Alligator mississippiensis: one gene and its partners. The protein of the gene in region 3 purifies or fractionates together with the protein of the main gene of each other region. This does not show direct contact. Links are inferred from orthologs where the notes say so. Each region holds a gene or a part of one and is shown on either strand. Other genes may lie near its edges.

Evidence for each region.
Region 1: the proteins of MAD2L1BP (region 3) and LBR purify together in Homo sapiens (co-immunoprecipitation; 3 studies listed by BioGRID and IntAct, counting the BioPlex papers as one, with this or other methods). This does not show direct contact. The link is inferred for Alligator mississippiensis from reciprocal best matches to the Homo sapiens genes MAD2L1BP and LBR.
Region 2: the proteins of MAD2L1BP (region 3) and MAD1L1 purify together in Homo sapiens (co-immunoprecipitation; 4 studies listed by BioGRID and IntAct, with this or other methods). This does not show direct contact. The link is inferred for Alligator mississippiensis from reciprocal best matches to the Homo sapiens genes MAD2L1BP and MAD1L1.

The regions. Positions count from the first base shown.
Region 1 is NC_081824.1:180,570,267-180,577,665, reverse strand, and holds the start of LBR (delta(14)-sterol reductase LBR), read right to left. Parts: upstream 3,097-7,399; 5' UTR 2,988-3,096; intron 2,702-2,987; exon of another isoform or gene 2,626-2,701; intron 1-2,625. UniProt on the Homo sapiens protein: Catalyzes the reduction of the C14-unsaturated bond of lanosterol, as part of the metabolic pathway leading to cholesterol biosynthesis.
Region 2 is NC_081836.1:51,118,646-51,126,499, reverse strand, and holds the start of MAD1L1 (mitotic spindle assembly checkpoint protein MAD1), read left to right. Parts: upstream 1-4,796; 5' UTR 4,797-4,882; intron 4,883-4,920; exon of another isoform or gene 4,921-5,467; intron 5,468-6,224; 5' UTR 6,225-6,230; coding exon 6,231-6,380; intron 6,381-7,854. Other genes in the region: MRM2 (rRNA methyltransferase 2, mitochondrial), read left to right, coding at 1,060-1,349, 2,818-3,251. UniProt on the Homo sapiens protein: Component of the spindle-assembly checkpoint that prevents the onset of anaphase until all chromosomes are properly aligned at the metaphase plate.
Region 3 is NC_081824.1:168,617,750-168,625,391, forward strand, and holds the start of MAD2L1BP (MAD2L1-binding protein), read left to right. Parts: upstream 1-4,614; 5' UTR 4,615-4,729; coding exon 4,730-4,963; intron 4,964-7,291; coding exon 7,292-7,642. Other genes in the region: GTPBP2 (GTP-binding protein 2), read right to left, coding at 1,249-1,422. UniProt on the Homo sapiens protein: May function to silence the spindle checkpoint and allow mitosis to proceed through anaphase by binding MAD2L1 after it has become dissociated from the MAD2L1-CDC20 complex.

The DNA of each region.
Region 1 (7,399 bases), about 12 Mb from region 3:
CCTTGGTCATTTGTCTCCCCATCGCTCATCTTCCTAGAGCTAGTTCCCCAGACTGTGGGGGATATCCAGAAAAAATAAAAACAGATTTGTCGTAAGAATATAATCTTATTTAAGAATTATATTTGAGTTTAAAATCATGCATTTCAAGCAGCAAGCTCACCATAAACTAACAATTTAAGTATACAGCTCTGAAATGTTTCAGTAAAGCAGGAGGTATCAATTATTGTGGCCTACACATGTATACTGGGTACTCTTTATCTATAACTGCATATCTATGACATTTTATTCAACATGCTTCAAGGCATGTTTTTGTCACCAGATCCCCCAATATTCAGTAAATGGGTTCCTCAGGCTGTTCTAAAAGAACTGTTAACTGACTTCACATACTCAAAGTCCAATTTATTTGAATGTATAAGGCTGATTTTCTGCATTTCCCTACCACTCAACCATTTCAATGAGAGTTCAGAAACCAAAGCTGATGATAACTCAAAAAGATTGAGTAATGCTTGACTAAGCTGTGGATGCTCCATAAATTGAGCACAATCTAAAGTTTCAGACCCAGTTAGAAGGAAAAACTGTCACCGAGTTGCTGGCTGACCTATTAGTGAAGTAACCCAGAGACAATGAAGTCCCACATAAGAGGACACCTTTTGCCCTCCCTTGGACAAGTTGTTAATGGTTACACTTTACACTAGTCAGGATAGAAAGCGACAGGAAAACACTAGCTTGCAGTTTTCAATGCAAGAGCCCTACCAACAAAATTATATTCATAAGCAGCTAAAGTTTTACTGCAACACTGCTGCTCTGGAGTGATGAAGGAGCTACAACCCCTTCTCCACAAGAACACTGAAAATGCTTCCAAAAATACTGACCTCCCTCACTATTCTTCAATAGCCCATCTCTCTAACAGGACAGATGTATACAACTAAAAGGAGAAAAAAATAACCTAAAGAAATAGCCACTCCTGTCTAAAAGAGTTGGGAAGTACTCCAAAGGAACCCCCTTAGAGTTTGGAGGCCAAACTCTGAAGAGCTGAACACTGATGCATCATGCTGTGCGCCAGAAAAGGAAGCCATCTGCACATAAGAAAAGGCAAATAAAAGCACAGGGATAAGGAGAAAATTGCCAACTGTTCTACCAGATATAGCTACTGACATCTAAGGGAGAACTTCTGCATTCATTCAATGAGAACAAGCTATAAAGAACAATTTTAGGATCATTGTTATTTATATAACTTATCTGACCACTTATCTTACAAAAGCAATGCACTCACTGGCATTTACCATCATGTGAACATCACTTGACTAAACAGTAAACCAATGTAGTTAGAGCTTCAGCATTCAAAGCATTTCCCCCGCGCTACTGCTCTAACTGTTGCTGGTACTAGTGGAGTTGCACTTGTATATGCACTTGCTCCGTGTGTTCTCTGGTGACTGATCTTCACACTGTACTTTGTATTTTAGAAAGTGGCACTTTCAGAACAGGAACCATGCCCCACAGGCTGCACAGTAAGATGCAGTCCAAGTGCGACTTAAAAGCAAATAAGTAATACTGTATCCATCCTTTAGAAAGAAAAAAGCTTTTTCTAATACTAAATTCATAACACAAAGGGACTCTCACATCCCGCTCTTTAAACAGTCACCAGGTACTGTGAAGAATCTAGTTCATTTCAAAGCTGGACACATCTAAGTTTTTGTAGGACTGGGGGGCTTAGTAGTAAACAATCATCCATTCCATGCCAGCATCAAATGAAGGCTAGAAAAACTACAGACCTGATCATGACAGCAGCCTACTGCTTTCCACAATTACAGTATGGTATTATTTATGCAATGTCAAAAATGTGCTCATTAGAGATTCAATAAGGCACAACTTTAAAAAAAAAACAAACCCCAAGCAATGAACTTTTTTTAAATTTCTGCTCAGAACAGTAGAATACTCTTTTAATATTATTAAGTCAGATTATAAATGTTTATATATCCACCAAAAACTTTAAAAGGCACGTGGCAAAAAACAACATTTTTACTGGAATGCCAAATCTCTTTTGCTTGTAAATATGGACAGATGAACCAGTCTGGTAAAGGCATGACTAACATGCAAGGAGTCAGCAAAGATTCTCTGATGCAAACCACACAGAAAGACATGTTAACATCTGGCAAGAAATAAAGCAGCGAGGACTTCTTCAAGTGATTTCCGTTATAGGACCAACTATGTAGTTGGGACAGTCAGACTAGCTTCCTAATGCATCACCTGCGATGAGTATTATTTACTACTCAGCCCCAATTCTATAAAAACAAAGCTGTGCCCAACTTTGACACAGACTACATCATTCCCAGCACACGAGGACTGTTTAAAGAGTCTTCACCAGGAGACCTGGGACAAAGTTGGGAGACCCGAGGAAGAACGCCTTGCACTCGCAAGCCTGTCCGACTCTGGGCCCTACTACACCTGCCAATTACAGCTAGATAAAAACCTGCTACGCAACAACTTTAGAGTTGGTTGGCACTTTTTAAAGATAGCGAAGAGTCCTTTTGATTGTGGGATCCTTACTTGGCACCCGTGGCTAGCCTCAATGTATTACACAATTCACCAGTTATACAAAACCATAGAAAATGGAAGGGACAAAACCTCAGGAGGTCACGTCTAATCCAACTCCCTTGCTGGCAGCAGGGCGATCCCCAGCTACATCATCCCAGGCAAGGCTTCGTCCAGCTCTTCCCCCCACCCCCCTCGGGGGGGGACTGCCCCTCCCCCCGGGCTGCGGCGCCGAAAGGGCCGAACAAAGCGGGCGGGGAGCGGAGCCCCGGGCGGGGCGGGGGAGGAGGCGGCCGAGGCCCGGCCCCCGGGACGGGGAGCAGCGCCTGAGCGCGGCGCAGGCCGCAGAGGGCAGAGGGAGGCGATTGGCCGCTCCCCCCTGCCGGGAGGCGGGGGTAGGGGTAGGGTTAGGGGTGGGGGCGAGGAAGGGGAGGGGAGCCGAGCCCGCCGCTCACCTGCGCCGCCGCCACCTGCGCGAGAAGCCCGAGCCGGAGCCGGCGGAGCGCGCGCCCAGCAGCACCAAACAACCAACCGCCCAGAGCGACGGTTAGGGACGCGCGCGACGTCCCAGGCCCGGCCCCGCCCTCCCCGCGGGCCGCCCGGCGCCAAGCGCCGCTATTGGCCCACGCGCCGGTTTGAATAGCTCGGCGCGGCACGGGATTGGCTAGCAGCCGGGGCCGAGGGACGGGATTGGCTGAGAGGAGGTGGCGCGTTCCACCCTCTCCCGGCCCCCGCCTGCCCCGCCCCCGCTGTCCCGGTCGCAGCTCGCGCGCCCGCAGCTTGCCCTGGTCCGCGCGCACGCTCGGGATTCCAGCCCGGGGAGCCGGGCGGGGTGGGGGGCTGGTTGAGGAGGGGAACCGCGGGGAGCAGAAAGCAGAGCAGCCGAACGGGCGAGGAGCGGATAGAGCAGCAGATGGGGCAGAGGGAGACAATTGGTCGCTCCCCCGATCCAGGAAGCGGATAGAGCGGCAGACAGGCAGGGAGCAGATGGCAGAGCAGCAGACGATGTAGAAAGCAGGGCAGCAGAGCAGATGAGGCAGGGGAGTAGCAGAGGAGGCAGTGTGTAGAAAGCAGGACAGCAGACAAGGCAGGAAGCAGCAGGTCACATGGGGCAGGGGAGCAGATAGAGCAGCAGAAGGGGCAGGGAGAAGATAGCAGAGCAGAGGGGTGAAGGGGATGGGAGGAGCACTTGGGAAGGACGTGGGGCTAACCTGCCAGATAGCCTAACCCCACTGGATGCAGAACCGAAGAGGCCTTACCTAAATCAACCAGGCAGTCACCCAGGGCTTTTTTTGACCTTAAGTTAAACAAGCAAACAGGAAACGAGTGGCAGTATGGTAACAAGCACAAACCACAGCTGAGGTTAGAGCCTGGATCAACAACACTATCTTGTTAAGACTGGAGGCAGCCCTCTGTAACTTTTGTGAATCGGGTGGCAACCCATTTGAAAAAACGAATGTACTTATTGAGTGCTTACCTCCTCAAAGTGGATGGAGGAGCAGCCAGGCAGGGAGAGCATGAGCCTGCCTTTATCTGCATATCACCTCAAAGGATCTGGCAGCAGTCTGGCTGAGAATCACTGTCCTGGTTGGTGGCCAGAAATTTCCCACAACTTTTACATTTAAAGACGTTTGTATTAGAAACACCTGATTCCTGCCTATACTCCAACTACAGATGTTTCATTTGATGGCAGCAACATTGACAGCATAGGCAAGACGGCATCAAATAACCCAGTACTTCTGTCTGTAGGCTCACGGGCCAACTAACAAAATATTTAGTCCCTATGCCCAGACTACATTTTGAGATTTCCCATTTTAACAATAATAACTAGCAAAGACCCAAACTAGGTGGTAAATGCAGGCCAATCCATGAGTTGTTTTTAAAAATTAAGATCAAAGCCTTGGTATTTGACCCAGCCTCCAAGGAACAGACAGTTAAAACATGGAAATAAATAATCATTTCCATCTTCAAAAAGAAATGAAATAAGCTTCTTTCTTTCTCTTGCTTTTATGGGTGAGGGTGGTCACATATAGGCATGGTACATTGAGAACTATAGTTATAGTTTCATTTTAAGACATTTTTGCTAAGTACATATAACTAATAAAAACATTAAAACTTTTTGCCCTAGGATCAAAAATTATTTCTATAAAAGGTAAAGTAACCTTTTAAAAAACAATATTACAAGCTAAAAGAGAATACTTGGGGCCCATCTCACTCCACAGAGCACAAACATCTTTGAATGAAACACAGTGGATTATACTAAACATTATTAAATAAGGAATACAATTATAAATACAATTTATTAAAAATTTACAATAATGTTTTGGTCCCCTTTACCACAGCTTTACCACAAGAGTACATTAAAGTAACTAGAAAATTTTGTAATCAGGAAGCCTAAACAATGTTGTTTTTTTTAATCATCTCTGCAGAAGTACATTGTGAAAAAGACAGCAAAATGTACTGGGTAACTTGCATTTTATTTATTACCAGTAATTAAGCAACTCTCTCTCACACACATGCACACACACTTCTGCCTTTAAATTGAATTAAAATGCTGTTCCAAGTATTTGCAGAAAACCCTAAGTCCTTTCTGCATCTAGAAATATTGCAATCAACTGCACTGGAAGCTCTGCTCCTTTGACTTTCTAGAGAGTTTAAGACACTTGTCTGGGCTCACATGGAGTCCATTCTCTAGCCTAACCAATATTTTACCTCTATAGCCAGACTGCCAAGGAGGCTACACTTTTAATTTTACTTATTTAGTTTATGCACACAAACAGTAGTGCCAATTTCAGTCATCCGAAACAAGGAGCTAGGCTTCCAAGTAATTAAGTCAGGTTTAAAAAAAAATAAATAAAAAATCAGAGATTCACTTTCTGACTTGGTCTTTATTTTTTTACATGTTGAAGTTTACATTTAAAAAAAAAACCACACAAATCAAGATTCTAACCTAATCTAACAAATCTTGGATGCTGGAGTTTTACAAAATACAGAAAATAGACACAATAACAAAACACATGATAAAAATCCTGAAAATTAGCAAAAATGACACACCAAACTTCATTGAGACATGCCATTAGGAACAAAGTAGTATAGTATAAGTGTCATGTTGCAAATATTATAGTTGATACATAATTCAACACTTTTACTCCCCTGCCAATAAACCATACCTACATCCCATAAAAAACAGTATATATGTGCAACTGACAAATCAACATTTAAAGTTGCCCCTTTGACTATACAAATTAATTTTGCATTGTATGAGCTATATGCTTAATACCCAATATGCTGTGTGATTATTGTAGTTGAACACAAAATAATTCCTTTTAAACTCAAAGAGTTGATAGAAAAAGTTTACTTTTACAAATATTCACACTAGTAAAGTTTGGATTCTTTAGCACTAACAGAAAGTAAATACAGAGGTCATACTCACTTTCATATTCAAATTTATATTCAGAGAAGTTTTCTACTTTCCAGGCCTCCAGTTCTATGAAAACCTAGGTGCAAACAGTACTACATTAGAATAGTGAATTAATATTTTCGTTATCAGATCATCCTATGCATCACTTTATTTTCTAATACCTATGCTTTAAATTAAAATCAGTCACACTACAGAACTACAGTAGTGTCACAGAACTGTCAGAATACAGGTTTTTAAACAAAGCCGTTAGAATTTTGGGGTTTTAATCCTATTAAGATATTATTCTTTTTCAGTTTCATTAGATACCATGTAACTGCACAGAACAGTGCAACTGCAGCACATTTCTGACCTCAAGTGGAGATTTTATTTCTGAACTGTTCATTCTTTTTCCTCTATAAATCAGCTATGGAGAGTTTATTTTCAATAGGACATCTTGTACTTTTTAACAAATGTAAGCCTTGGAGGGAACCAGCTTAATCTTACTAGTAAGGCATACACTTAATGTTAAATGTGGAGATTTCCAGTTCCAATCTCATTTGGAGAATAAATGTTTCAAAGTAAGTCTTTTAGAGACTTGTCAGACCTGGAGTAGAGAACTAGTCCTCTGGCAGAATTTTCATTCAATTCTATGTTGTCAATTAACCTGCTGATATAGATGTTAAATAGTTATTTCAAAGAGTTAAAGGGACATCAAGAACTTGACATCTTGCAAGTCAGAGCAACTAACACACTTTTCCCTGAACCCCACTGCAAATGTATATGGTTTTACATTCATATGTTTTTTTAGGTTTCTCTTGTTCTTTCTCCTGTTGCTATGTAAACGATTGTGCAAATCACAAAACCTGTTTGGGAAAATCAACAGACTGAAACAAAGTTTTTCCACCTTCAGTCTTTAACTTTGATATTTTCAGGTATTAATTGCAGGTAAACATTTTTAGACAGACATGACTGTGTCAATGTCCCCAGTCTGATTCTGCAAGGTGCCAAAAGTACTTTCACAGCCCATGCTTCCAAAGCAGCATCGCCTCTGACAGTTTCTCCTATGCCTTCCCTAGCCCATGAACAACTACTCAGTATTTGGAGGGAACCCACCTACAGTGTTGAGCTGGTGATCATTAACCATGAGAGTGCCCCACAGTTGAGGGGATAGACGGAAACAGAACAGAAAGTAGGCTGTTTCTCCATCCTTCTGCAAGGGCAAGGGAAATGCCTCTACAGAAGAATGCGTTAAAAGTAAAGTAGAAACAATGGATCCTAAAATCTCCCCATGCAGTTTGCCAAAGGCTGCGCCTGAGGGTAAAGAGGAAATGCTGAAGTGGTGGGCTATGTCAGGAATTTCATGTGGTTGTTACATCTGTGTTCTGAGGCTGCACTGGTTTCCTGTCCACATCTAACTGCAATTCAACATTTTGTTTGTAATTTGTAAAACTCTACAAAAAGGGGATC
Region 2 (7,854 bases), on a different chromosome or scaffold from region 3:
GGCACCGGTACAGGAGCGCGGAGGCTGCCCCGATGCGCTGGGGTTCGAGCACGTCAGAGCAGACTTATAGATTCATAGATGTTAGGGGCTGGAAGGCACCTCGCAGCTCATCGGGTCCAGCCCCCCCGGACCTGATCGAGTCTGCTGGAGTGTGGCAATTGCTGTGCTGCAGCAGCCTCCTGCATCTCATGCATCAGTGTGCCTGCACTTAAAAATGGCACTCGAGCGCTTTATGTAAAGCTTGTTGAACAAGCTTTAGTTCAAGTGCCCCTGCTGCCATTTTGAAGCATGGGGACGCTGATACATGAGACATGGTGATGCTTTAAGTGGAGCGGCTCCACTCTAATTAAAGCACTCCCCCTGGAAGGGGTAAAAGTGTCCTAAGTGCTGAAGGCTGCAAGTGGGAGAGGAACAGTGGAAAAAGCCCTGGTCTCACTCAGTTCCCTCTCCCTTTCAGTGTCCCCTCTCTGCCCCTGTGTGACACAGGAGATTGGGTAAGATGGACCTATGGTCTGACCCTGTAAATGGCAATTCTTGCGTTCTGAATGGGCTCCGTAATGGGGATTCCTGAAGACTCCTCCCTGGCTTGCCCCTGGGGCTTTACAGCTGAGGGCAAGCAAAATTGGAGGGCATCCGAACCCCAAACCTCTGGGCTTGGGCCTGTAAGTAGGATGCCCACCAAAGGTTTGGGAAACATCTGAAGCCCCAGATGGGGGTGGGAGATGTTTGCTGGTAGTAGGGCCACTTATGGTTCTGGACTGACTCCCAGATTTGGGATTTGTTTTGGCTAATTTGGCTTGGACTACAGAAAAGTTAAAAAACCCCCCCAAAACTTTGGTGCTGCCACAGTATAAATAGTGTCTAAATATGAATCAACTGTACAGACCCGAGAGTCTCAAAAATAAAACAGTACATCTTCTTAAAAGACTGTGTTGTAGATGAGTGTAGTGATAAATTGGAAGGACTAAAGTCAAGATGGGAGTTAATTATGTGAAAAGGTGGGGTTCTCAAACTTGCAGGGGCTATGCACTAATTGGTTTCCTTGTCTTTTTTTCGTAGTTATCAGAGGTGGACAAGCCCTTTGCTTCTGTGCCAGAGGTTGCACACTGCAGTGGTATGTCTGAAGAGCAGAACTGGAACAGAGCACCGCTGGCTGGCACGGCATTTGAAGGACCCATTTGTGAAGGCAGTGAAACAGCAGAATTATCGTTGCCGAAGTGCCTTCAAACTGCTGGAGATTGATGATAAACATCGGGTTCTGTGCCCAGGGCTTTCTGTGCTAGACTGTGGAGCTGCTCCTGGGGCGTGGAGTCAGGTTGCTATACAGAGGGTCAATGCTTTGGGCACTGGTAAGTGCACAAGCTTAGCTCCCAAATGTAGGAATTAGGCAGTGAAATGCCATAGGTGATGGGATGTTTCACCAGATACAGACTTGGCAATTTCAGGTATCCGGTAGTTGAGAGAGAGAGGAAAAGACAAAAGGTCAGACAGGCAATCACTTGGAAGAGTGGAAATGCTAATGTCCTCCAAAAGGAGTACAAAGGGCCACAGCTATTTTAATCTAGAAAGAGGAATGGGCCAAATGATGCCAGCCTGCCATAGCAGACATTATGCCTAAGAAATCTAGGGCAGATGGGCAAAGGAATTTTCACTGGTGTGTGGGAAAGGCAAATACATGTGAAGTTTCTAGTTAGGATGCGATGAGAAATCTAGGGACATAAAAGACTGCAAGAGAGGATGTCTTTGCATATGTCAAGTGAAGCTGTGTTGGAACCAGCCAGCATAAGCCTTTACTGATCCTTGGGCATAGCCTTATTGCAGGTACTTGATCAATATTTATGGTAATCTCATGGTGTGGGTGCGATTTTTGCTGAGGATTGTAACACCACTGTCTAACATGCAGTTAATGTTTTGTTAGAGTGTTTGTTTAAAGTCACTGTACAACTACTGTTGGCCTTTGGATTTAATAAAAACATTTTGGCTCAATTGATGACTGGGTCATCTGAGTTCCAACACCAAAGGAAGTAGCAGACAGTGCTGACTTGACCTGGAGTTTGTGGAGATTGTCTTCTTTCAGTAGAATCAGGGATGGTGTAGATAGTTTAGTTGCACTTCAGTGTGTCTTGTACTCAGCTTAGTAATTTAATTATATAAAATTTAAATCAACTACAAACTTTAGATTTTTTGTAGCCATGCTGGGAATAGAAAGGAAATACTTCCTTGGATGAGCACATGACGCCTTCTCTAAGGAGTAAAAACCTGGGAAGAAATGTATTGCAAGGGGGACTAAACTTTTACACTGAGCCACAGTACAAGGGATGGTCATTGAGAGGGTAGAGAATAGGGCTGGGAAAGAGATTTTGTCTCCATCCCTGAGGGCAATTTGTGTCTGTGATCTCAAGCAGGTAATTTAACTTCTCTGCCTCTATTTTTGTTTCTGAAAAATGCCCATGGGTGTTGTGGTTTAATTTGTTAATGTTTGTAAGGTGTAATAGGGCAAGTTTTGTTGTTATTGGCTGAGTGCAGAACTGCCCTGCTGCTGATATATCTGGTATAGATTAAAACTCTGGGATATAGATTTTTTTAAAACAAAAATATTTATTCCAGGTCACTGGGTCTTGGTGGATTAACCAGGTCAGCACATTGGTCATGGATGAGGTAGATTGTACTTTGTCAACACATGATGTAGGTTTATACATAGAGTACTGAGCTACTGGATACATGCATTATTAGCAGCATTTGTAATAACCTTGATCAGTTTGAAAGCAGGGGCCTGTCTTGTGTTTTTCATTCTTTCATTAACATTTTGTTTCCTAGATGCCAATGCCCCTGTTGGCTTTGTCCTTGGAGTTGACCTCCTGCGGATTGCCCCTCTGGAAGGAGCAGTTTTCCTCTCCAATGCTGACGTGACAGATCCAAGCACGCTTAATAAGATCCAGGAGCTGCTTCCTTCAGGGAAAGCAGATGTTATTCTGAGCGACATGGCACCTAATGCCACAGGGATCCAAGAACTAGATCATGAGAAACTGATTAACTTGTGCTTATCTGTTCTGGATATGTCCTCAAGCATCTTGCAGCCAGGGGGGATCATGCTCTGTAAATTCTGGAATGGAAGAGATGCCCAACTTCTCCAAAGCAGGCTGATGGAGCACTTCTGCAACGTAAGAACTATAAAGCCTCAGGCCAGCAGGAAAGAATCTGCAGAATCCTATTACTTGGCAAGAGGGTACAGAAAGACTGTGAAAAACTGATTATGTCTGCCTTTCTCGCATGGGTTGTCAGTCATTGATTGGACGCTGGGACTTGGGGTAGACCTAAAGAATTATCCATTTAAACTCTTACGTTTTGGTTTTTTTGTTAATCCTACTTTGGGAGAATCTGCCATTATTTATATTGTGCCATAGATATCCAAAGCAAGACAAGGTTGCTGCTTCACTGAGCTGCTATTCTAATTATACCAGCAAAAACATCCAGTCTTACTCCGACGTGGGAGGAGGCTGTTGTGAATGGCATGCAGTGGCATGAAAGTCCACAGGGATAGAGTGATGGAAAGAAAAATAAAGCACTGGTTATAGTTTTGTTGATGTGTGTGTTTTAAAATTACTACATTATCTTTTTAGTTATATTTGGAATGGAGCATCGAGTCAGTTGCCATAATGGGAGTGAAAAGGAAGAGGACTGCCAGCCAATTTTATGTGCCCTTCATCTTTTCTGAAGGCTATTGCAATTTATTAGAACATTTAGAAAATACATAATCATTTAATGGATCTCAAAATCTGCACTGTCATGTAAATCTGTAATGGGGCATTCAGAATATATGACTGTGATCACAGAATATTACAAGTTGATGGTTGTGCTGAGTTATTACCAATGCATGTGCCATGGTCACACTATATTTAGAAACTGCTATTTCATCAGATTGCCAGTGTATTACAATAGAACAGGTTCAGTGCCACGGATGAGGTCATTTTCACTCCTATTAATAGGAAGGCCCCTATTAGATCAATGACGCAAGGTGTTATTAATCTCCAGTAAGGAAAATGGTACTGGCAAATTTTTGCCGTCTGGTAGTGGCTGGAATTTTGTTTGTTGGAATAATTTCTGCACCTATTCATTTATTTTTTTTTAATTATTTTTGAAAATAACTATTTTGATCCTCAAGCAATCTGTTCTTTACACTCCCTGTCAGTGGGCCTTCAAGCTGGGGGTGGTAGCACCACTTTTTTTTTTAAGGTTGCCTAATGTTTCTGACTTAAATCCCATTTTATTTTGTTGTTACCAAATTTACGTTGCCCAATTGCATGCATGTGGCCTGAAAGTTTCCATGTTGCAGGGCTGGTTTCTTGCAGTCACAGCAACGAGCTTGTCAGAGTCGCTCGTGGACCAAATGCATGCAATCTGAGCAGCCAAATGACTTGCCCTTGGGCTCATGGGACCTCTGCTGCCAAGCTGGAGGCTTGACTTCCTCTCCTGCATTACGGTGCTTCATTCAATCCAGCCTTCTTCCCTGTAATAAAGGAAGGGTTTTTGAACCCAAAAGCTTGCTTAATAACTATTCTCCAACCATTTGGGTTGGTCTGATAAAATATATCAAATTCACCCAAGGAACCTTGTCTCCCTGTAATAAAAGCGTTTGATCTCCCTTGTATGATGCTGTAGGGACACCCCCCCCCCCCCGCTCCTCCTCCCTCTATAGAGTGATCACTTTGGGAATTAGTCGCGTATACTCTCAGTATTACGGTAGGAGAGCGCTCGGAACATCCTCATCCCAGCTTTACGGTAGAGGGCGCCAAGATCTCGCGGGAGGTGTAGGCGAGTTCTCGCGGGATCTCGGCGCCGGGCCGAGGAGGGAGATCCAAGCCGGAGACGGCGGTGGCGGCGGGTGAGCGAGCGCGCGCGGGGCCGGGCCGGGCCGGGCGGGGCTTCCTGCCATCCCAGCGAGCCAGTGCAGCGCCTTGCCTCAGTGCACTGCACGTCTGTGCCCCCCCTCCCCCTCCCGGTGCCTAGCATGGCCCCCCAGTGACTGCATTGCTGTGCCCCCGCTGCAGCCACACCCATGCAGTGTAGTGTAGTGCACTGCACGCCTGAGCCCAGCCCCCTCCCTCCTCACCCCGCTGTTGGGGGGGCGCCGCTGTGTCCCCCCAGTGGCTGTGATACCCGCCTCCGTCCCAGCTGCGCCCGTGCCTGCTTTTAGCAGCAGTTGCTAAACTTTCTCTGCTGCTTTTTAATTTGGAAACACGAAGGGGCGCTGGTGCTGGGAAGATCCACGCCCCCCGCCGCAGCGCTGCGCTGGGGCAGCCCAGCGGGCTCCTCCGCCGGCGTGTGCCCGGTGTCGCTGGGACCGTGTTGCCCTGTGCGAACGCTATGAGCCGAGTTTATTTGTGAGAAGCGTTGAGGGTATTTTCAAACGAAGTCAACGTGCCCTTTGACATCTTCATCCTATCCTATACTTGTAACGTTTTCAAAGGTACGTAAGTGAGTTAGGAGCCAAAATTTCCGTTATGAAAGTGACTTAGGCACTTGGGGAACTCAGATTAAATGAAAGTCAGCGAATGTTAGGGTTTAAATTCTTTTGTGAAAATGGGCATTAGGGCCCAGTATAATTTAGGTGGCAATATTTACTACTAGTTTGGATGCAGATCAGGTGGTCTCTCCTATCCCAGTCTGTAGTTAAAAAGCACTGAGAGGAAGCATTAGAAATGCTTTCTATTTGCCAATGTTACGTTCCAAGGATATTCTTGTCTCCAGTATTTGCCTTCTGCTCTTCTCTGTGTTATGTAGGATGAATACTGTGGAAATAGATGCTGCTTCCCCAAGCAGCGGAAGTGCCAAGGTACAGATTGTGGCCCCGTAACTCCAGTCTAATTAAATGCAGGGGGAGTTTTGAATGTGTCAGTGTGTGGTGCCTTCTGACCAGTGGGTTAAAATTGTGGGGAAAGATGTGTTGAAATAAATGATACTACTGAGAACCACGTAAGGTAAGGGGTTGTACCGTAGTAGTCTGAGTTGATGTCACAAATCTACAAGCTTTTTCTTGGTGCTTTGTGGATCAGCGGAGGCCCCAGTAATGGCCTGTGAATCTCAGCTGTGGCTGACAATTTTGGCTTTGCACTCTGTAAATGAGAAGGCTCTAGGCTCCATAGGAACCCAGGAAGGGGATGCGTTTTGTAACAGCAGTGAGTAGAGAGTAACTTGCCCTGAATGTTTCACTTGTATGTTTCCAGGGAGCCATGGAAAACCTGGAAGATAATACAACTGTCTTCTCCACTTTGAGGTCTCTCAACAACTTCATCTCACAGCGCATGGAGGGGACATCTGGCTTGGCCACTCCAGGATCATCTCAAAATACCTTGCATATGCAGTACCAGCAGAGGGTACAGGTGAGACACTCCTGGCTCGCTGACAGCAATAAGTGTTTGCAGTGTCAGTGAGAGTTCATGTGATTCTTGGGCTGTCCACTTGTTCATTTAGGTGATTGTGCCTGTTATCTATTTAACTTATTCTCCTAACAGTGTCAATAAAGGAGATATTTTTAAAGGTGCAAATTCCTAAGTCCTTAATTTTTTAATATGTTTGTTAAGGACATGATTCTTTATCTTGGTAAATATTCAAAGAGGTCCTTTGAGTTTCCTTCCTGTAGGTTATCTGCAGGCCAAATTAGGATGGTAAATTGTGAGGTGGTTTCATCCCACTCCATCATAAGCTTAAATGGATAGTTTACAGGCAACCCCCGCTTAATGCTGTTTTGCTTAGTGCTGTTTTGCTATAATGCTCATTTTAAATTGATACCTGATTTTGCTTAGTGCTCAGCGAGTTTCATTATAAAGCTCACGGTCGCTGTTTTGGGGTCATTAAAAACAGTTGCGGTTGCCATTTTGGGTCATCAAATACTTGTGATTTCGCTTAACGCTTAGTTTTTCAGGAACCAATTAAGAGCGCTAAGCAGGGGTTGCCTGTACTTGGGATGAGGGCAACCACTTTTCCCAGGTCATCTGCAGAGAACCCAGTGGGAGTTAAGTAGCTACTTTGTTCCCATCTTTTTCCTTACACAGCTGACCAGTCTTGTTTCTCTGTTGTCCCTTGTCTGTCTGTATCTTTTATCTTATTCTTAAATTGTGAGCTGGCTTTGGGCAGGGGCTTCCCTTTTGTTATGTATTTGTACAGTGTGTAGCAGGCAGGGGCTGCCTCCTTATTATGCATTTGTACAGTATGTAGCAAGGTGACCCAACTTGCCTGGGGAACATTGCTGTTATTCACTCAATTTGCTGAACTCGCTCCATTGAGGACGTTCATATGGACAAGAAACGTAGCCCAAGAAATGTTAATGTTTCATTCGCTAAATTACTCACGGAGAGTATGGTGATAGGCACTGTACAATGCCTAATATATATTAGACCACTGTCACTTAAAAGTTTCTGTGTTCCAGAGTTTGATGTGGTATTCTGTTAAGTCTGAGTGTAAAGTATAGATGCATTGATCTTTATTTAACCCTCCATTGCATTTCAAATTCTAGCTAATTTTCTGATTTCTGGATTCGTCTTTTAGTTGTGCGTTGCTGGTTGCGGAAAATCTGTATCCCAGCTTTTTGATTGAACATATGTTCAGTTTGAAGATTTCCTACAGACAAAATATTCTGTTACTCCCTTGCATACTGTCCTGGTAGTAATTTTGCATGAAGCATGCTTTCATCGAAATAAAACCAAAGATTGTGCCAGGTACCTCCAGGTGCACTCCAACTTGCTACCTTGCTGAGCACTTAGATCTCTGATTCCTTAGCTACGTGGTGTTTCTTCTTTGAGACAGCCAAGAGGATCTGTAGGTAACTTTGTTTTGTTTCAGAATATGATTGCTTGC
Region 3 (7,642 bases):
GGACCCTCTGCATGCTGGCTCCCCCAAATCAGCAAATATAGAGAGAATCCCATTAGACTAGAGGGGGTGGAGCTGCTGGAGCCTGCTGAGCCAGGAATGTGGGCCTAGGAGCTAGGGGTATGTTCCCACGCAATCTGGCAGATGAGATATCCACAAGAGATGGGAACAGGGCATTCAGGGTTGCATAAGGAACAACACTCATCCTTATGCAACCCAGTAACTATGAGGCTATAAGGTTTTTCCACCTGCTGACAGGAGGCCAAGCACTGCTGTGCTGATGTCTGCACCCTCCCGGCAGGGCATCTTTAGGTCAGGCAGGTCAAGGAGCAGGGCTGTCTCAGACCCCACCGGGGTGAGGGTGGCGGGGGGGGGGGGGGGTGAGCCCAGTGCCCCCCTCCCCAAGGGGCCAAGCCACAATTCAGGCAGCATGGAACTGCATCTTAACACATCCCACCACAATCATGGCAACTGAGCCAACTTGCAGGGACTGCTTCCAGCCTGGTTAATTGAGAAAACCATCCACCTCAGTCCTCCATGCTCCCAGGACTGGAGCTGAGGGGAGAGAGGCTAGAAGAGACAGAGGTCATGGGCATGGTGGGGCAAACTCTTTCTCTGCAGAGATCTACCGCTTAGGCGGCCACCTCTCAGCTGAGGCCAACCCTTCCCTGTGCGGCCTGCCCCAGCTAGGGATAACGCCTCCGCCACCTCATCACGTCTTGCATCGCTGCCAGGGCCCCTGCTCCCTCTGCTTGCCCACTGCTTTCAGGGCACTGCCCAGAATCAGCCAGGGGGGATGCCACCCCCACGAAGCTGCAAATGACTTATGTGCATGTGTACAAGTGCAGACACATGCACACACGTAGATGTACATGCATGTACACATAGCGGTGCCTGTACACACAGAGGCACATGCATGCACACACGTACAACCCTGTGCCCACAGAAATGTGTGCACGCCTGTACGCGTGCATGCCTGTATCACACATACAAGTGTGCACATGCACAGACATCCACCTACATGTGTATGCGCACATAAAAGTACACGCACATGGCCGCATACACACAGAAGTATGCACACACAAAAGTGCACGCACATATGTATGTACACGCACACACGTACAAGCAAGCACAGAGCTACAGGCGTGTACACGTCCACCCAAGGGGCACAGCCACGCAGAAGCGCACGTACACACATGGGCACACACACGCGTACGCGCGGAAGCACACGCAGGGCCGGCCCGCACGTACCTCGGGCGGCAGGTAGGGCGGGTTGTTGGCCTTGCCGCCCCGGCCGCGCCCGCCCTTCTTCTTCGCCTTGCAGCCGCCGCCGAGGCCACCGCGCCCGCGCAGGGCTCCCCCGCCGCCCCCCGGCGCCGCCGCCCGGCAGCAGCCGCCGAACAGCTCCGACACGCGCGAGTCCATCCTGCCCCGGCCCCGGTCACGGTCCCGGCCCGCGACGCACTGCACTGCCCGGCCCGGCCCACCCGGGCCCTGGCGTCAGAAACAGCCGCAGGGCATCACGGGACACCGAATCCGCAACACCTTCCCCTCCGGACTACACCTCCCGGCATGCCCCGCGCGGCCCTCTGCCGCCACCGCTCCCGGCGGGCCCCGCGGGAGCAGCAGTCCGGAGTGGTCGCTCCCGGCACCCCCCAGCAGCCCCTCTGAGGCAGCGGCTCTGGCGGGCCTACAGTTCCCAGCATGCCCCGGGCACCCAGGCCCCCTGTAAGGCGGCACCCGCTGCGCCAGGGGTCTGATGGGAGATGTAGTTCCGGGGTGGAAGGAAGCAGGCAGGTACTAGCTGACCTTTTGCCCACTTGCCCGGCTACTCAGGCTCCTGGGTGGTGAGGAGAGTATGCTTTGAGTGGCAGAGCCGTGCCGCACCTCAGGCCCTGCACGCATCCCACAGCTTCAGGTATCCAGGTTGTAGCCGTATTAGTCTAGAGGAAAAAGCAACGAGGACTCGTAGTAGAGATGATATCTTTTATTAGACCAACAAGATTTTTGCAATTAAAGATTTTTTCTCTGCAAAAATCTTGTTGGTCTAATAAAGGATATCATCTCTACTACGAGTCCTGATTGGTTTCTCCCACAGCTTCAGCTTCATTCATGGCCGTGTGGAAATACAGAGGGACACAGCTCAGGCAGACTCTGAACATAGGCACTTCATGGTCACGAGAGGGTTTCATACTCCAGGCGAAAGGTTTGGGGCCAAGAATGTCCTGGCATCTCTGCCAACCCTTGCCTCTGCCACTGACTCACAGTGGGGCCTCAGTCATATCACTTGGCCTGGCTACTGCTTGGATTGGATTTCAGCAGGTCTCATTTTTTCAGCTGCCAAACAGGGAGGACAAGTATCTGCTGCCCTGGCAATACTCTTTTAATTAGTGTTTGCACAGCACTTCTTGGGGTGTTGCTGACAGGGCTAGAAATAGTCTCACACAACCGCGCAGGAGCTACTGAACTACAGCTCCCATCAGGCTGTGACATGTGGACTCGTTCCCTTTCCCCCTCCTTTTACCTTGAAGATCATGCCCAAGGAGGCTGGAGACATGCTTTGTTTGCAAACACAGCTGACTGCAACCACACCCTCTCATTGCAGTTTTTCTCCTCCTCCTCCAGGACTGATCTATTACGGTTGGTGGTAACCTGTCTGCCCCAGGGAGGAAGATCAGAAGTCTCCGCCCCTGTTTAGGCACAGCTCAAGTGGAGTCAGCTGTTGCGTGCGACAGCAGCCCAGGCACAAAAACGGCATGTCACTCTCATGACTGCAACATTCCAGCTGTATCTTGTAAGATACTAGCACCATAATTGCCACAACTAATTAAAATAATGAGAGGGATGAAAACAGAGACAATGAGAGGAAGTACGTAGCAGGAAGATCCATGCATAGGTAAGAGATGGCTGCAGAATCCAGGGGTCCTGCCTAGATCCTCTCATCCTTAGCCACATGGCTACACATGGATTTTAAGTCTCACAACATATTTTTTATAGGCAGGAACACAGGTGCTAAATTTATTTTTGCTGAGGGTGGGAGCGCTAAGATGATGGACATCTGATGGTGAAAAGTTTTATGCAGGTGACAGACTTCTTCATTAGGGGGCCAGGGCCCTTGGGCCCCCACATGCTTAGCACCAGGCCAGGAGTCCACAGAAGACCCAAACACACCTCAGTGAAAGCCATATAATACAATCCTAGTCTCCACTTGTGTTTCTTCGCCCACTGAATCTAGGCACAATGACTTAGTCCAATACCTTTTAACCCTGGCACGAGCAAAAACTGCATTTGGCCACACCACAGATGAAGGCAAAAGGTGATGAGTAGGGTGACCATATGTCCAATTGTAGCTGGGACAGTCCCAGATTTCAGGGGCTGGTCTTGACTGGCTGTTGAGAAATGGGTGTCCCAGAAACACAGGGGCTTGGAACGCAGTCTGGGTAGGAGTTGGGGTGGCATGGAGTGATTTGCAGGTGGGCAGTCATTGCTGGCATGGTGACTCGCCCCTGCCAACTTGTGAGAGCACGAGGAGGGGCAGTGTCCCAGATTTCCCAGATGATGTCCAGCATTTCCTTATGGTCAGTTTAGTCAGGGGGTTTCACTAAGCACAGCAAGCGGGGTCCACAATGACATCTTTTCTGCAGACAACCTTTGTACCTGGAGAGTAGCCCTGTGAAAGATTCAGGGCCAGTGTTGTTTTGGTCTGTGATTTGCAATATCTTAGAGGTTACAAGTGGAGCATCCTCTAACCTACCATTTGGGGTTTTTTGCTTTTTAAATGTCCATGTCCACTCGGCAGCTCCTCTAAGGCCCCTGCTACACATTACCTATATTGCACAATTAACAGGTGAATCACACAATACATTCAGGCTGGCCCTTGCACTTAAGGCAGGCCATAAGTGCAAAGGATTTATCACACCATTAACACGAATTGTGCAACAAATGTCAACTGGCCACACATGCAAAATCATTACCACCGGATAAGCATGACTCCAGTTATAAAAGGAGCCAACCAGCTCTACAAGTCAGTGCTTGGAAATGTGTCATCATTCTATTAGGGCCCTGCTATGGGTTGGAACGAGAGCTGGACAGCAACCGGCATGGACTGGGGGCCCATTTCCAAGCACTAACTGGATAGCTGGTTGGCTTCTTCTACAGCCAGAGGGTCATTTTTCTCACAAGCTAATGACTTGGCACCAGAGGCACTGAGTGTGGGGGCCACGGGCCCTGGACCCCTGGGGAAGAGGGCTGAAATGTGTAAAACTTTCCACGAGCCTATCCTCTTTGGCCCACCCCACCATTGCCAGCGCTCATGATTTTTGGCACTGCATTCAGAAAGGTGAAAAACGTGGCTCTTTCTTCTATGGACATTTATATATATGGCTAAAAGAAAGCTCTGTTTTTCACATTCCTGAAGCATCGACTTTAACAACAACGTCAAAAACCCTGAGAGTTGGCAATCCTGCCACCCCACGGTGAAATTAAAAGTCGGTGCCGATGCTTGGCCGGTATGGCTAGGGTACACCTACTGAGCGCTTGACCACGCAATAAGCATCACGTGTGTCAAGGCAGCCGGAGCTGGTTTCTCTCCAACTTTCATTAATGCTAAACCCCGCACCAAGATGGCGGCCGCCCACTCCTTTCCGTCGGGAAGCGGAAGGGCCGCGGCTCCCATGATGCCTCGGGGCGGCGGCCATTCAAATCGGTGGCTGGGGCCGGCGGCGGCCAGGAAATGGCGGTGCCGGGCGGCGCGGGGCGGCCCCGTGACGGTGACGTCTCTCTGCCCCTTGCGGGCGAGCCGGGTCCGGTGTCGGTGGTGTTCCCGGGTGTGGTGACGCGCGAAGGCTGCTGCCGCTTCGCCTGCGAGCTGCTCAAGCACGTGCTGCACCAGCGCCACCAGCTGCCCCTGCCCTACGAGCAGCTGGCCCACTTCTGCCGCCGCCCCCGCGCCGCGCCGCCCCCGCCGGTGAGTGCCCCCCTTCCCCCCTGCCGCACGGGCTCGCACACAGATGGACGGACAGACACGGACACAGGCGCGCGCCCCCCCCCCCCGCCTCCATATAAACCAGGGCTGTAGGATTGCTGTCCGGGTGAGGCAGAGGCCCCTGGGGCCTGTTGCATCTATTGCATGATTCTGTTGGTGACTCGCCCCCTAAATACAGATGGTCTCCTGATGCAAAGCTGTTATCCCACCCACCGTAGGACTCTCCAGCTTATGCCAAGAGCTGCCTTGCCTGCTGTCAAGTTAGTGCTTAGAAATGGGTCATGAATCTTAGGTTTCTATCTGGCTTTTGTTTGAATGTGTAGGAGGGCCCTTGGAGACTAGTGCTGTCAGGTCTTGCAAGATTTTCATGACTTGGTGGTTGCTTTGTCCGAGGTAATCGCTTTCCAGGGCTGAGGCAAAGGAAGGGGCTTGGATCCTGAAGAAACTTGGGATGAAAAAGCCCAGAGGCTTGACTCTCCTGTGCTCTGCTCCTCTCCCCTCCAGGGTGCTGGCACCTGTCAGAGGCCCAGCTGCCTTGTGCTGCTCTGAGAGCACTTAGTGCTGTGTCTTGTATCAAGATGCTCTCCTCCTTTTTCAGATTGTTTCAAGCTTTGTTAGTTAGCAGCATAAAACACCCATGGGGTTGTATTTGAGGCATGTCCTATCCTCTGAGGACGCTGTGCCCTCAAGAGGATACAAGAAACTCTCGCTGTTTGTGGTTTCAAATATTTGTGGTACACCGAGTATTCACCTTATTACAGTGCAAATGCTGAACCTGTATCTTAAATACACTTACAGGAAACCCTTGGGAGCTCTGTGCTTGCTCCTGCTGCCGCGCTCCCGCTGTCATCAGTGCAGCTGTGCCTCCTCCTCCCCTCCCCCCCCGAGGGGGCACGCGCCATTCATGAATGCAGTGCTATATTTGCGGGTTTTGCTATTAGTGGGGATATCCAGAAAGTATCCCCCACAAATGGCAAGGGTCTTCTGTACTTTTATTAGTAACCCAGATATCTGACCTTGTGAGCATAACAGCTTTTAATTATAGTGAAATCTCTGCTGCTTTCCCGGAAAAGCCAAGGAAGGCATCCAAACATCATTGATCTAGAGTGGATAGATTTGAATCCTTTATTTGCATCAGTAGTTGAGGTTTTAAAACAAAACATTTTTGCTAGTGAGGATTCATCCCATCTCTCTGTATTTAGTTAGATGGCTTGACATATGCTTTTTTGGATTTTTAATTTTTTTTTAATTTAAAAAATGGCAAGTAAAGAATTTCTTTCTTTAATCGTACCAAGCTGCACCAATGAAGGTAAACAAAACATTTTAAAATTTGTTAGTTTAAAAAGACAAGCTGTTGTAACGTGCCTTTTTAAAAGGCTTTTTAATAAATGGAGGAAGTACCTGTAATGACCAGGAACAAATTACTTCAACTCGTCTTTCAGGGTTTTAGAACTAGCAGAATTCTCTCCTCTCATTTCACTTTTTATTCATTAATCAAAAGAGGAAAACAAGATTTCTAGGTTTATAAATTCTCAACTTCTTTCTTATCTTTGAATTCAACTAACAATCCTGACAAGAAGGGAATCACTTCTCTGTGCCTGCAGAAAAAGCTACTGCTGTTGAAGATGCTTTAGTACTTCAGTATATTCTGGTTAAAGATGCTTAGCCAGTGACTTCCTCCAATTCAGTGTCACTTGGTAGGAAAAATACTGCTTGAACACTTTTCTAAATGACTTAATAGAGTAGAGTAAAGCTTGGCTTTGATATGGGCTGTTATAACTTGAAGTGTATTTTAAAAATAATCCATTTTTAAGAGAATCTAACTGGAAAAACGGTATATTTTTATTTAAAATGGGGGAGGGGGGATATCATTTACCTTAATGCATTTTTCTATTCTGACAAAAAATAATCCACCGTCAGGTCTTCTGGTTCACAACCAGAATTACGCTTTGCAGTTTGAATTAATAGAAAATGTTTCCTTTTTGTCTGCTTTAAAAAAAAAAAAAGCAGTCTTTTGAAAGAACAGATATAGTAGTGATCCCTGTATAATAGGGACCCCAGATTTTGAATTAGAGAATATTGTAGAATGTGTGTGTTACACAATAGGTTAGCTGCAGTGCAAAGCAGCTCTTGTCTTTGATATGGCCAATTTTAAACAAAGCTGCCTGTACTCCCTTTTTTAATAAGAACTTAAACTTTCTGAAGACCCCCTAAGAAGTAAGGAGTGGGCATGCTTTTTTTTAATTTTCAAACAGACATTAACAAAGATTTCCCGCCACTTGCTCAGAATTACCAAAATCTTTCTTTCAGGTTGAAGATGTGATTAAGAAGCTGCATTCCACAGACTTGGGCAGCAAAAAGTGTCAGCAGGCGTTAGTGGATCTGGAGGGGCTGTTCCAGCATTTGGAAGCCATGTTCCACCTGACGCTAGTCCCCCGGATCCTTATCCTGCTTGGAGGCAATGCCATGAATCCTAAGGAGCTCTATGAGATCAACTTGGAGGGCATCTGTGTGGGTAATGCTGAGGAGAGCCTGCAAACACCATCCTGTGTTCGTAAGCTCTTCCACTCGCTCTTCCTTGCAGATGTCTTCAGTGAATTACAGGCTCTCCCTGTCATGGGCACCACTGTCATGGTCCAAGGGCATCGTGACTGTGGCATT